Danio rerio: one gene and its partners. The main gene of each other region encodes a partner of the protein of the gene in region 3 in a complex. Links are inferred from orthologs where the notes say so. Each region holds a gene or a part of one and is shown on either strand. Other genes may lie near its edges.

Region 1 (4,292 bases), on a different chromosome or scaffold from region 3:
GTACTTGGGCAAAAAAAAAGAGAGAGGAGCTTGTGAGGATGAAACAACATCCGCCTGCTCAATTTTTTGTATTATTAACCTGTCAGTCTTTGGCACATTCATCACACCTTACTTTTTTTTCCCCCTCAGCATCACACAGCGGATCTCATTCACCAATAACGCCTTAGCAGAATACAAATAAGAGAAGTTCTTACCAAAACTTTATTTGGGCATCAATTTGTTATCCTTTTTATGATGTTAATGAATTGGTTGTACTTTAAAAACAGCAGCTGCATGCCCAGAGTTAGTCATTTGCATAAAACGCAGACAAATATCCATAGGGCTTTATGCACAACTTTTCTTTTATAAGCATAAGCCACTCTAAGCTAATAGATGGTGCTTTCTAAAGACTCACCTGTAATAACCTATTTAGATGCTATAAATATATTTTATGCTGATGTCTGGTTAGTTACACTGGAATATCAGACCCATTTTCAAATTAAATTCAGGAACGATGTAAAATAGACTGCCGATAACCCTAAATCTAAATTTTAAAACAAAATTTTTTATTACATTATAACATGCTCATTACATAAATAAATATGTAAGAATAGTTAGAGGCATTCATTATAAACATTATTTATAGGGATACTCCGATTGATCAGCCAGAGATCGGTATCGGCCATTAAACGCATTTAATAACTCAATCGGTACTCTCTGATCTGGCCGATCTCATGAACCGATTGCAAGTGTTTGTTGGAGATGTGTAAAAAGATTTGAATGACCTTGCATGCATTTAGGCCTTTTTACAAACAAAAACTAAAAGTTCTGTGTTTTTGACAATATTGAAAGTTCACTAAAACCTGTCTGGAAATATTACATAAATATATATTTTAACATGAATATTTAATAATATAACTTCTTGTAATATACTTACTGCAATAAACAGTAATGTATATGCCTATTTCCTTTTAGTAAAGAAGTAATGGATTTATAGTGGGGATTTTATCTTCTTATGCATCAAATATGCACTTCTAACTTTTTCTTTACTTATACATGTTGAATTCCTACTCCATCATTTGCATACAAATTGCATTGTTTGTCATTTTTCTTACCAATTTGTTTATGTTTTATCAATGATTTTGTATATACTGTATCTGCTTCTGACCATTACATGTTCACACCTATAAGAGGCTATAAGAGACATGTTTAAGGGATTATATGCAGCAGACATAATTTATTCTCTGGGGTAAGGAGAGATCTCTACTTAAGTATCGTACTTAAAAGCGAAAATGTGCTTAATGTAATATGAAGTTTGAAGCATTAGAATCTGTATTCTGTAACAGATTTGTTAAGGTTAATTCGTAGCATTAAAAAGGTAACCAATGCAAAACAATCCCCAGTTTTCAAACCTAGAAATTTTATAGACCATTTCAATGTGGTAATGTCATTGGCCAATGAACATTTTCTGCTTGTTATCAAACTATTTTATACCTGTAACGAGACAATTTATTCATAACTTGATGTTATAACAGCTATCGTAACACTATTTATCAATATGTGGAACATCTTGGACTCTTAGAATCTTTGGAAATTTAAATAAATTTTAATAAATTAAAAAACGGAAATATGTCAGGACCGTTGTTATTGTTTACATCCCTCAAAATTGTAAGAAGACGTTTAAATTTAACTTGAAAGCATGAATGTGATGTTGGAACACTTACCTCCCTTACGGCCTTGCAGAACTCGCTCTGCAAAACCCTCTGAAGGGCTTGCAGCTTCTGGGGTGGCACTTCCCCTGTTCTCTGGAGCTTGTCCAGCAGCTCAATGGCACGAGATATGTCTGTAGAATAACATATGTAAGACCAAGACCATGGATAATCATTTGCATCATGCCATCTGGAGATGTTGTCTGTGGCTAAACAGCTTTCCCTGATAAATAAAACAACAACACGGACCGCAGATAACATTTTAGCAAATCCTTTCTTTATGACAAATATTATTGTTGTTGTTGTTGTTATTAATATTGCGCCATATATTGTATGTAACGTTACTAGTATATAATTTAACGCTACCCAAAAGAAATAATGTTTGTAAATAAAAACTAAATAACTTAAGAATGAAATTATTTACTATTATAATGCTACTTACCGGTTTCTTCTTGATTTATACAGATACATGTAAATATTAAGATAAAAACAGACGGTCATAAATCAGAGTTTTAGCTGATCTACTAGCCTAAGTTAACTCTACTGTGTATTAAAGCTTCAGTTAAACTCAAAATAAGTTGCTGACTATTAGGACGTCACTGAAAGACTTTACTAACCCCTAGAAATACTCAGATGCACTGATCTCTGACCTGAAGTGCCCATGCTAACAGAGCTCACAAAAGATTAACGCTTTTGACAGCTACCCTCGTGTTTTCCTTTCGTTGAACGTAAACTCACCGCTTTAACGACATATAAATGTCCGTATTGCACATTTTATACGTTTTGTGAACGTAGTTTAGTTTATAGAAAAACGTGTATGATCTCGAACGGTGAATTGATGCTAGCTCTCTGTCGAGCACTAATCCATCCTCACGAAGTGACAGCGGGAGAACAAAAAGCGTGATTTACACAACATCCTGCTTCACGTACGGCAGAAAGTGTCTCGGTGCGCGGCTTACCTCTTTCCAGACGTACAGGTTCTCCTAAAGAGGCCATTATAGCCCTGGTTGTTGAGTTTGCGTTTGGTGAAAGCTCCAGAGTTGCGACTCGGCGGCTGTGTTTGTTGCTGTTAGCTTGCTGAGCTTAAGCGTTGTGGCTAATGCACCGAGATTACGGATGAGCGTCAAGAGCGTCATTCCTGCGTTGCTTCCGCGCAGACACTTTGCATACCATAACAAACTGACTTTATTATGATTTTCTCAATGAAATTGGAATATATTATATATAATTTTAACATTAAACAATATATTTAAAGCAAATATGGACTGTTCGACTTGGTATTTTGTTTAGGACATCGAGTTTGACTGCATAAATTATTACAATTCAGATAGTAGACACGTGTAATAGGGCTGTTTTACTGTCAGTAATATGTTACTGGACTAGTTAAGAAAATAATGTTATGGCAGCTATACAGTGATATATGGTCAACAACATAACCCACGCTCAATTGGATAATGTATTAGCCAATCAGAATCCAAGGGCAGAAATATTTCCATACATTTTAAACCATATGAATGAATAGTTTATTCCAGGTAAGGAATGCATTTATATATGATGATTTATTTATTTATTTATTTATTAAATTTTTTTTTTACAATTCAGACTACAACTGTTTATTTTAGAAATCTTTAGGCACACTTTAGGGTATTATTTTTGGGTTATTTTGACATCAGATGATACATTTAAAAAACTTTAACAATGTTATCACATTACTATCAAGAAATATATGACTGTGTTTTCATTGTTGGTTCTGTTATATTAGTTACATGAAATATGTTTACTTATATATTATTTAAATAAAAATTATTTGTTGCTAATGCTAAAAAATGTTAAGATTAATTAATGCTTTAAAAATGTTTATTTTGTTGAAGTAATTAATGATAACAAATTACATATTTTTGTAAAACTATTTTTCTTAGAAAAAACATTTATAGAGGATACAAATACATATATATGACTTTGAAATATTAAATATTGATGACCAAACGGCACGTTTTTTTTTTTTATCAAGCAAAAATAATTGTTGTACTTTTGTATTTTTTTCTTTTTTTTTATATTTCCCAAATTATGTTTAACAGAGCAAAGAAAGTTTTACAGCATGTCTGATAATATATCTTTTTCTGGAGAAAGTCTTATTTGTCTTATTTTGGCTAGAATAAAAGAAACTTTTATTTAAAAAAATAATAAAATTTAAGGTCAAAATTATTAGCCCCTTTAAGCTATATATTTTTTGATATACAGAACAAACCATCATTATACAATAACTTGCCTAATTGCCTAGTTAAATTAACCTTGTTAAGCCTTTAAATATCACTTTAAGCTGTATTGAAGTGTATTGAAAAATATCTAGTAAAATATTATTTACTGTCATCATGGCAAAGATAAAATTAATCAGTTATTAGAAATGAGTTATTAAAACTATTATGTTTAGAAGTGTGTTGAAAAAATCTTCTTTCCATTAAACAAAAAATGGGGAAAGATTTTTATTTTATTTTTATTTATATATATTTTTCAAATTATGTTTAACAGGGAAAGGAAATTTTCACAGCATGTCTGATAATATTTTTTTCTTTTGGAGAAAGTCTTATTTGTTTTATTTAGGCT
Region 2 (4,269 bases), on a different chromosome or scaffold from region 3:
CTGCAAAGAGGAATGGGTAAAAGTTCCCAAAGACAGGTGTGCCAAGCTTGTGGCATCATATTCAAAAAGACTTAAAGCTGTAATTGCTGCCAAAGGTGCATCAACAAAATATTGAGCAGAGGCTGTGAATACTGATGTACATGTGATTTTCAGTTTTTTTTTTTCACATTTTCAACAATTAAAAAAAGAAGAAGCTTTTTTCGCATTGCCATTAAAGGGTATTGTGTGTAGAATGTTGAGGAAAAAACAAATTTAATCCATTTTGGAATAAGGCTATAACATAAAAAATGTGGGAAAAGTGAAGCGCTGTGAATACTTTCTAGATGCACAGTTAAATAGATATCAGTTCTGATTGACAGAGACTGAGATGTGCTTAATTTTACAATATGGAAAATAACAAAATCAATTACTAAAGTTCAACAAAAACTGATCATTCAATATAGACTCAAGAGGATTGTAAATATTTCACTGACAATTTCTTTTTAGCTGATCTGATATCAATTTCAATATACTCTCCACAAGGATCTCAGTTCATTTAACTTCTGTGATTAAAACAGATAATATTGGTCATGTTTTAAAATGTTATCATTACTTTTCCCATGCAGACGCCAACACGCCAATAATGTCAGCCACGTGGAGAGAAGGACACCTGATGGATATGTGAAAACTGATTTAGTGTGACAAGACTACGTAATTGTAAAAGAATGTGTTTGACTCTTGTGAATGAGAAGTGAACAGACTGGGCTCTTGCTACTGGAACCCATTATCACAAGTCAAGGAGTGAGACAATAAAGCTGAAGTGAGATGCCATCTCAAAGAGGCAGGAAAGTGAGTCATTCAGGAGGAGGAACAGTGGAATGCAGTTCTGCCTGAGAGAAGAAATAAATACTCATGTGGAGGAGGAAAAGGACAGTGCAGTCTTATGTGATACGCATTTCAAACCTCAACTGTATACCTAGTTACATATATCCAATTAGTGTTCTGTGAAATCAATACAAGAAAAAGGAAGGAATTATTACATTTTTCACAATTGAGCGACGCTCTAATTAGAAGCACAAGGATGAGTTATTACTAGAGTCAAGCATCCTTACGTTTGAAGGACAGAAGAAAGATTTTACCTCTCTGATGGCAGCACAGAATTTGCTCTGAAGGACTCTCTGGAGAGCCTGGAGTTTGGGAGGAGGAAGCTGACCGCTTCTTTGCAGTCTGTCCAACAATTCAATCACTCTGCAGACATCTGCAGGAGAAGTCAATATTATAGAAATATATAGATCAAAGACATGTTTGTGTCTGCAGCAAACGAAACAAATAAAAGTATATTATACACATAGAAAGCTTATCCAACTTTAATTTTCCAAATAATGTGAAAAAAATAAATGGTTACTTTCATTCCCAATAAAATAAATAACTGTAAATTAAACCATTATTTTTGCACAAACAGAAAGGAAGATATTATTCTAGATTTGTTTAAATTATTATAAAGTTCGGGGACACACAGTGAGTAGCTCTGTCACCTCACAGCAAGAAGGTCGCTGGTTAAAGCCTATGCTTGGTCAGTTGGCTTTTCTCTGTGGAGTTTGCATGTTTTCCCTGTGATGGCGTGGGTGTTCTCCGGGTGCTGTGGCTTCCCAGACAGACCAAAGACATGCGCTATAGGTGAATTGGGTAAGCTGACTTGACTAGTCTGTGTGTGAATGGGTGTATGGGTGTTTCGCAGTGATGGGTTGCAGCTGAAAGGGCATCTGCTGCGTAGAACATATGCTGTATAAGTTGGCAGTTTATACTAATGTGGCGACTCCTGATTAATACCAGTCTTATAGGGATAGTTCACCCAAAGTCAAATGTTATGCGTTTCCAACATTCCTCAAAATACTACCTTTGGGTTCAACAAAAGTCAAAGAAACTCATAAAAGTTTAACCACTTGAGGGTTATGGAGTAAAAAATTTTTTCAAATTATTGTAAAGTTCAGTGTGCATTTTCTGTACATCATTGTACAAAATACAAACGGTTTCCCGAAAAAAAAACAAAAAAAAACATTTGGATTTCTTTATATTTAAGCAAAATATTTATAACACAATCTCGACAGTTAAAATGTTTTGATAGAACAAATTTTCTGTCCAATACTGTCAAATATTTTAAGTTTATCAGGAATGCAAAGCCAACTATCAGTGTTTTACAAGTGCCTTAAAAAATCAGAAACACCCAATAACCTGCTGTATCTATTAAGCTTTCAGTCCAAATCATCCACCAGTGATACAAAATAAGCCCGTGTATATAAAAATAGCATTCTGTCTTAAACACCCACATAGCCTTGTTTTGTTTGTCTTTTTATTATTATTCAATGAATTCTAAGCCTTACACAAACACTAGCACACCCTACTGTGGGGTGAGGGGGGCAAACATCCATTCATTCAGATTATGGAGACTGTGCGCCTCTCAGTGGTCACTGCTGCTGCTTGTTTAACAAACACAAGAACCAGCGAGTGCGTTAGCAACGCTATCAGCTTTAATATTTGCACAACGCCACTCTCCGTGGCTTGCACACAACAATGAGAACGGAGTAAATTACCTCTTTCCAAGCACAGCGGTTCTGTCATCGCCGCCATGTCCACCTCTTTCCCCGTATGATAATACGATGACATCATGAAGACTGCTGCAGTGGAGGACTGAACCGCTTTCAGCGACGTTATACCAAATTAATATTTCAAAACAAAATTTGAGATGAGCTTTAAGTATGTAAAAACAATATTGAAGGCGCAGACGATCCAGCTCTGATGGCGAGATGCGCGGGTCTGAGCGCTCGTACAGAGCGGCAGCTTACTGGATGACGCAAGACCACACGTCACAGGCGCGAGTTCAAGTCGTTTTGCAACCCACAAGCTCGTTTAACACCGTAAGATTTAAATAAATAACCAAAACACTACTTCGGCAATAAAAAAGTATTTATTCAAGAATTTAAAGCAGAACAAATACGACCAGATACAAACTGAAAAAACCTATACATAAAATTAAGAGCAATTTCTGTGAGACCATGGCAGACATTCCCATTTAAAAGCAGGTGTCATATTTTCTGCCTTTGTTCCTGCTGTAAAATAAGGGGCAACTGTACGATTTGTAAACGATCCATGTACAGGACCAAATATGAAACAAAATGTACATGATGAAAATAAAGTAGCAGAGAAATTAAAGGGAAGACCAATACAAAAAGAATGTTACAGATAAATGTACTAACCCATGAAACGTTACTATTGTACTCCGCAAACATCTATGAAAATGGACATAACAGTACTAAAACAACCCCAATAACTCCAACAAACAAATACTTATCTTTGACTGAAACTACACTGTATTATAATACAGTGCTTCAGTCAAGAAATCCCCTCCCAGTTATGGTCATTTGATATCAAAATAATGTTAGACAGGGAATTCAAATGCATCATTAAGCTAATTATTTACTGTAGTCCAAGCCCCAGAAATAGGTTTACCAGAGCTAAAAACATAAAAAAGCTCACAGTTTAGCTACATAATGTTTATTTTAACAATAGGACGCTTCTTACCAGGGAGACACTAAGCTCTCTCAGTGACAGCTGTTATTAGTACAGTATAATACTCACACGCTGTGGACAGTGCAAGCAAAGGGTGGAGGCATTAAATAATGGTTGAAGATATTTGTGGATCAAATCAACATTACATCTAGATAACCTACAATCATTCACACAACGATGGCACTTTTAGTACTCATCACCCTGGGCCTCCATCCTGTACCCATTTTCATTGGAGGCATAGCCCTCTCCCGACTGCATGGAATCCTGATCCATCATCATCATCCTCATCCCATCCTGTGAACCTTCTTCTGATTGCGGTGGCACTGGCTCTTCACCTTCTTCACCTCCATTACCCAAACCCTCATGATCTCCGGAGGAGGTAATGTGTCGATCTTCCCTTCGCTCCCCACGGTCCCGATCTCCACGGTCTCGCTTATGGTCACGATCTCTATCCCTGTCCCGCCTTCTGTCCCGATCCCTTTCTCTATCTTTATCTCGATGGCTGCGCTTCCTATCACGATCTCTTTCCCTGTCTTTGTCTCGATCCCTCCCCCTTTCCTCTCCTTCAGGTCCTCCCTCCTCACCTCGCCCTGGTTCACCACCCAAGGGGTCCTCTATGCCCCTATCTCCCCCTTCAGGCATCATGCCATCAACTAGCCCGCCCATGCCTTCCTCCCCTCCTTCTGCACCTTTTCCTCTTTCCCTGTCTCTCTTCCTATCCCT
Region 3 (4,144 bases):
TTCATGTGATGTCTGATAAGCTGATAAGGTACTGTAGGTTTTTAATAAGCATCTCATTATGTATTTTATATTTATTTGTATTAAAAGCTGCATCAACCATAGTTGTTTTGTCAGTTGCCTACCACATTAAATAAAACTACTCTTGAAACAGTCCATCTCATATTTTGCTTTCATGTTCATTTTTAATTCATAACTTTTTTTATTTCCCAAAATCATTTCATATTATGGAAGTTAAGCCATTTAGGATCCTACTGTTCAAATGCTTTAAGTCAAGATATTCATTTATTTTATTTTTGACTTAGATTCTTTATTTATCTGGGGTCGCCACAGTGGAATGAACTGCCAACTTGTCCAGCATATGTTTTATGCAGCGGATGCCCTTTCAGCCGCAACCCATCACTTGGAACCATCCATACATATTCATTCACACACACTAACGGACAATTTAGCCTACTTAATTCACTTATAGCACATGTCTTGGGACTTGTGGGGGAAACCGGAGCACCTGGAGAAACGCACGCGAACACTGGGAGAACATGCAAATTCCACACAGAAATGCCAACTGACTCAGCCGAGGCTCGAACCAGCAACCTTCATGCTGTGAGGCGATTGCGCTACTCACTGCACCACCGTGACACACTCAAGCTATCTTAATGAAGAATAATTTAAGATAACTTGCTTTTACCAAAGATAATTAGATGTCCACAGAAAATAAAAGCGTTTTGTGTAAGGTTTCAAAGAGCTTGCAGAACGACAGTGGAAAATGAAACCATATCCGTGCTATCTGGGCCGGTTTGGAAAAGAATTGGAACGGTTCACCATATAAACGATTCAGCACGATAGTGGAAAAGCAGCTTAAGTTACAACCTTTTAAGTTCTTAAATGTTTGAGTGAAATAAATAAATAAACATAGTTTAATGTAATGAACATTTCCAATGCTTATTCATTTCTATTAAAAAAATGCTTTTTCTGAGTTAGAATAGCAAGTGTTTTCATTTATTGTGACTGGAAATGGGTATTTCACAAAACAACTAATTCCATAGCTATTCTGAAGTTATAATTGTGTGTAAATTTTAACTAATTTCAAATATTGCTACTTCCTTTTTAATCTGGCATGGATAGACATTTGCACCCATCTCATTCCACTGAAAGGGCTTTCTAACTATGCACTTCATGACAGCTATGTGCTCGCACCCCTTCTTCATGACAGCTATGTGCTCGCACCCCTTCTTGTTCTGATGTTTAGCCGAGTTCATCTAGTTCATTGAGAAATTAAGCAGCGTTCGGTGACGTTTGATTAGCGTTTGATATGGGAGGAGTCGGATTTGCCCACAAACTGACAGAAAGCAGACAGGCGATGAAGATGGTGGATCCAGACACACATCGGGCGGACCGTTAGATCGCAACAAACCGCAGTAAACGTAAGTGAGAGACGAGGCACGAGATTTCATTTCACGCCTTATGTTCAGTCGCTGAAAATGTTAGGTTAAACCGAACCGGGTATTGAATGTTTTTGTACCTCAGCGAGAGTCATTGAGGTTTGTTCAAAGTGACTGTTGTAATGTTTGTCGCTTTTCCTGCGGAAAACAGGCAGAATAGCAGGCTGTTTGTTTACACTGGAAGGACCATATGTTTCTATGGCGTGGAAAGTACATTTAGGTTTACCAACAAGAAATGCAATGAATACATAAATGGGAAGTGAAGTTAGTAGTTCTCAGTCAGTACGTACATGCAATGAAATTTTTTTATCCTAAATAATTGTTCCACATCATTTGTAATTAGAGCAATAAGCATCATATGGTGATTGACTGTTAGTTTAGAATATGGTGACTCCATACGTTCACCAAAATGCCTTTTCAGTGTAACTTTTTTCTGTACACCAGTAGATGGCGACAACTATGATTCACCAAAAGTTTGGCTGCGTTCAAGTCCAATTTTTTTACGCCCTTCACTTGCTAACTGCCCTCTGTATCTTATTGGGTGTCTGTCAATGATTTTGTTTATGCAAATGTCTCCTATTGGTGGAACATCTGAAGCGTTTAAATGGAATGCTTTAGGAATCACACTGTTGTGATGTCACTATCACTTATAGGTGCTGGAGTGGACATATGAAGCAGACTTGCTTCCTTGATTACTTGATGAAGTGGAACACACTTCAAAATTATGTTAGGGATTCCCCCGAGGGAAAAAGGGAAGGAAAGTGTCTGTCTAAAAGTGCTCTGGAAAACAGTCATTGAGAAGGGTCAGGCTGCAGACTGGGAGCAGATGCAAGATGAGCTGCATGCTTAACCCTGCCTCTCATAGGGACGTCACAAGCTTTATTGAGTGCATTGTGTATGAGATTATGTCAGAGACAGTCAGATACTATTGCAGATAATCTCCACTGTTCTATAAAGGCAAAACTATGACTGCATCTGAAAACTTATGCAGCTGATTTCCTGTTAAAGTACTTTTCTGTATTTTGAAACTTTATATGAAGGGTTGCAACAAACATAATCCAAGAGCATCCTCCCTGTACAGCCAAAACACCAGGGGATGCCGATTGCTCCTAAATCTGAAGGGCTGTTCAAATGAATATGCTAACTTATTTAGGCTTGAAAACACTTTGGAATGAATATATTTCCTATGACAACAGCACCTCACAAAATTGATTTTAGAGAGACTTACAAGAGAGCATAATGAGTTTTTTTTCCTATATAAGTCATAGTGTACACAACAATATCTGGGCTTGCTGCATCACAAATACTAAAATGGTAACAATTTATAAAAAAATGAACAACTTTCTGGCCATCGGATATTAGGCATGGACATATATATAGCGATCGTAGAGCACTTGGACCCGGAAGCCACTTTGCGTGACGTCACACTTAACAAGCGGATTAGCTTTGGGTAAGTCAATGCAACAGCATACTGCTTTAGCTTAGTTTACTGCTCATCAGAACTCAAAATATGTGAAAACAGATTAAAAACATATTTAGTGCCTCCCATAAGTGGCATAAAGTCTGTTAAATCTTTTATTAGTTTAATGTGTATATTGCTACGTTTTTGGTGTATGTCTGTTATTAGATGACAAGCAAAAGTTGAATAAGTTCTTAATGCACATTGATCATCATGTCATATCACTCCAAGGGCGTAGATTCGCTCTTGATATGGTGGGGACATACATCCCTAGAGCGCATGCATTGAACAGCACAAATTCTGTTTTTGCTCTTTTAAAAACATGATTGAAACTTAAAATCTTAAAGGGCCATGAAACCACCTTGTTTCAGCAGGGTTTTTTCCACACCTCTACTTTGGAAAAGTCAGGAAAGTGGGCGTGTCCAGCTCTGTTTAGGGGGGAGTGTCGGACGAGCAAAAGAGGCAAGGTCTGTAAAAATTTGCATAATAATGGGAGTGTCGGTTTGGGCATACGCTAATTTTCAGAGAGGCAAAACACACACACACACACACAGGGGAGAAAGATAGTGACTGTGCTTACATGGACACCAGTAATCAAATTATTTGACAAATTATTAAATGATGGACTTTAACTGAAGTTTGGCACTTTCATTCAGGAATTTCATTCATGCCTATTTTAAAGATAGAAATATCCGCTTTGCGCCATGTCGCATGGTCTAACAGGGTTAAGCTTAATCTCTTAATGAGTTATAGGTATTTTTTGAGAATAAACCACTCAGTCTCATCATCCATTTTCTTCAAGAGTCAGTTGCGTCACGCCATAGTGCATTTGCTATTTACATGGCGGACTTTGTAAGTGGGAAAACTGAATACTTCACTAGAAAGAAAACAGTTAAACAGAGCATCTACGGCCAAGAAAGAGCCTCCTCATTCTTTACTTTCACTCTTGTGGATAAGGAAATGTGTTGTACGCACAGATATCCATTAGCCTATACATAATTAATTTTGTTTATTAAGCGCAAATATTTTTTTCAAAACTATTTCTAAATTCACTTCTAATTTCCAGCAAATGAATAAATAACCAATAATAACGAAGTGTGCTCAAAAAACTGAGTTACTGTATATCCAAATACACATGGTATGCCCCATATGGTCTAAAACCTGACAGATGGCCAAATATAAGCTTGTTTTTATAAAACAAATATAAATATGCATATAATAAATAATACTTCTAATAATAATAACA

Evidence for each region. Proteins that work in one complex are often made in the same cells at the same time.
Region 1: apba1a (region 3) and lin7c share a complex: the UniProt entries of both Homo sapiens proteins name them as parts of the brain-specific heterotrimeric complex. The link is inferred for Danio rerio from reciprocal best matches to the Homo sapiens genes APBA1 and LIN7C.
Region 2: apba1a (region 3) and lin7b share a complex: the UniProt entries of both Homo sapiens proteins name them as parts of the brain-specific heterotrimeric complex. The link is inferred for Danio rerio from reciprocal best matches to the Homo sapiens genes APBA1 and LIN7B.

Annotation. Positions count from the first base shown.
Region 1 is NC_133182.1:31,966,183-31,970,474, forward strand, and holds the start of lin7c (protein lin-7 homolog C), read right to left. Parts: upstream 2,803-4,292; 5' UTR 2,685-2,802; coding exon 2,648-2,684; intron 1,823-2,647; coding exon 1,704-1,822; intron 1-1,703. UniProt on the Homo sapiens protein: Plays a role in establishing and maintaining the asymmetric distribution of channels and receptors at the plasma membrane of polarized cells.
Region 2 is NC_133178.1:30,723,288-30,727,556, reverse strand, and holds the start of lin7b (protein lin-7 homolog B), read right to left. Parts: upstream 2,803-4,269; 5' UTR 2,608-2,802; coding exon 2,571-2,607; intron 1,238-2,570; coding exon 1,119-1,237; intron 1-1,118. Other genes in the region: snrnp70 (U1 small nuclear ribonucleoprotein 70 kDa), read right to left, coding at 3,733-4,269. UniProt on the Homo sapiens protein: Plays a role in establishing and maintaining the asymmetric distribution of channels and receptors at the plasma membrane of polarized cells.
Region 3 is NC_133180.1:56,742,865-56,747,008, forward strand, and holds the start of apba1a (amyloid-beta A4 precursor protein-binding family A member 1), read left to right. Parts: upstream 1-1,333; 5' UTR 1,334-1,421; intron 1,422-4,144. UniProt on the Homo sapiens protein: Putative function in synaptic vesicle exocytosis by binding to Munc18-1, an essential component of the synaptic vesicle exocytotic machinery. May modulate processing of the amyloid-beta precursor protein (APP) and hence formation of APP-beta.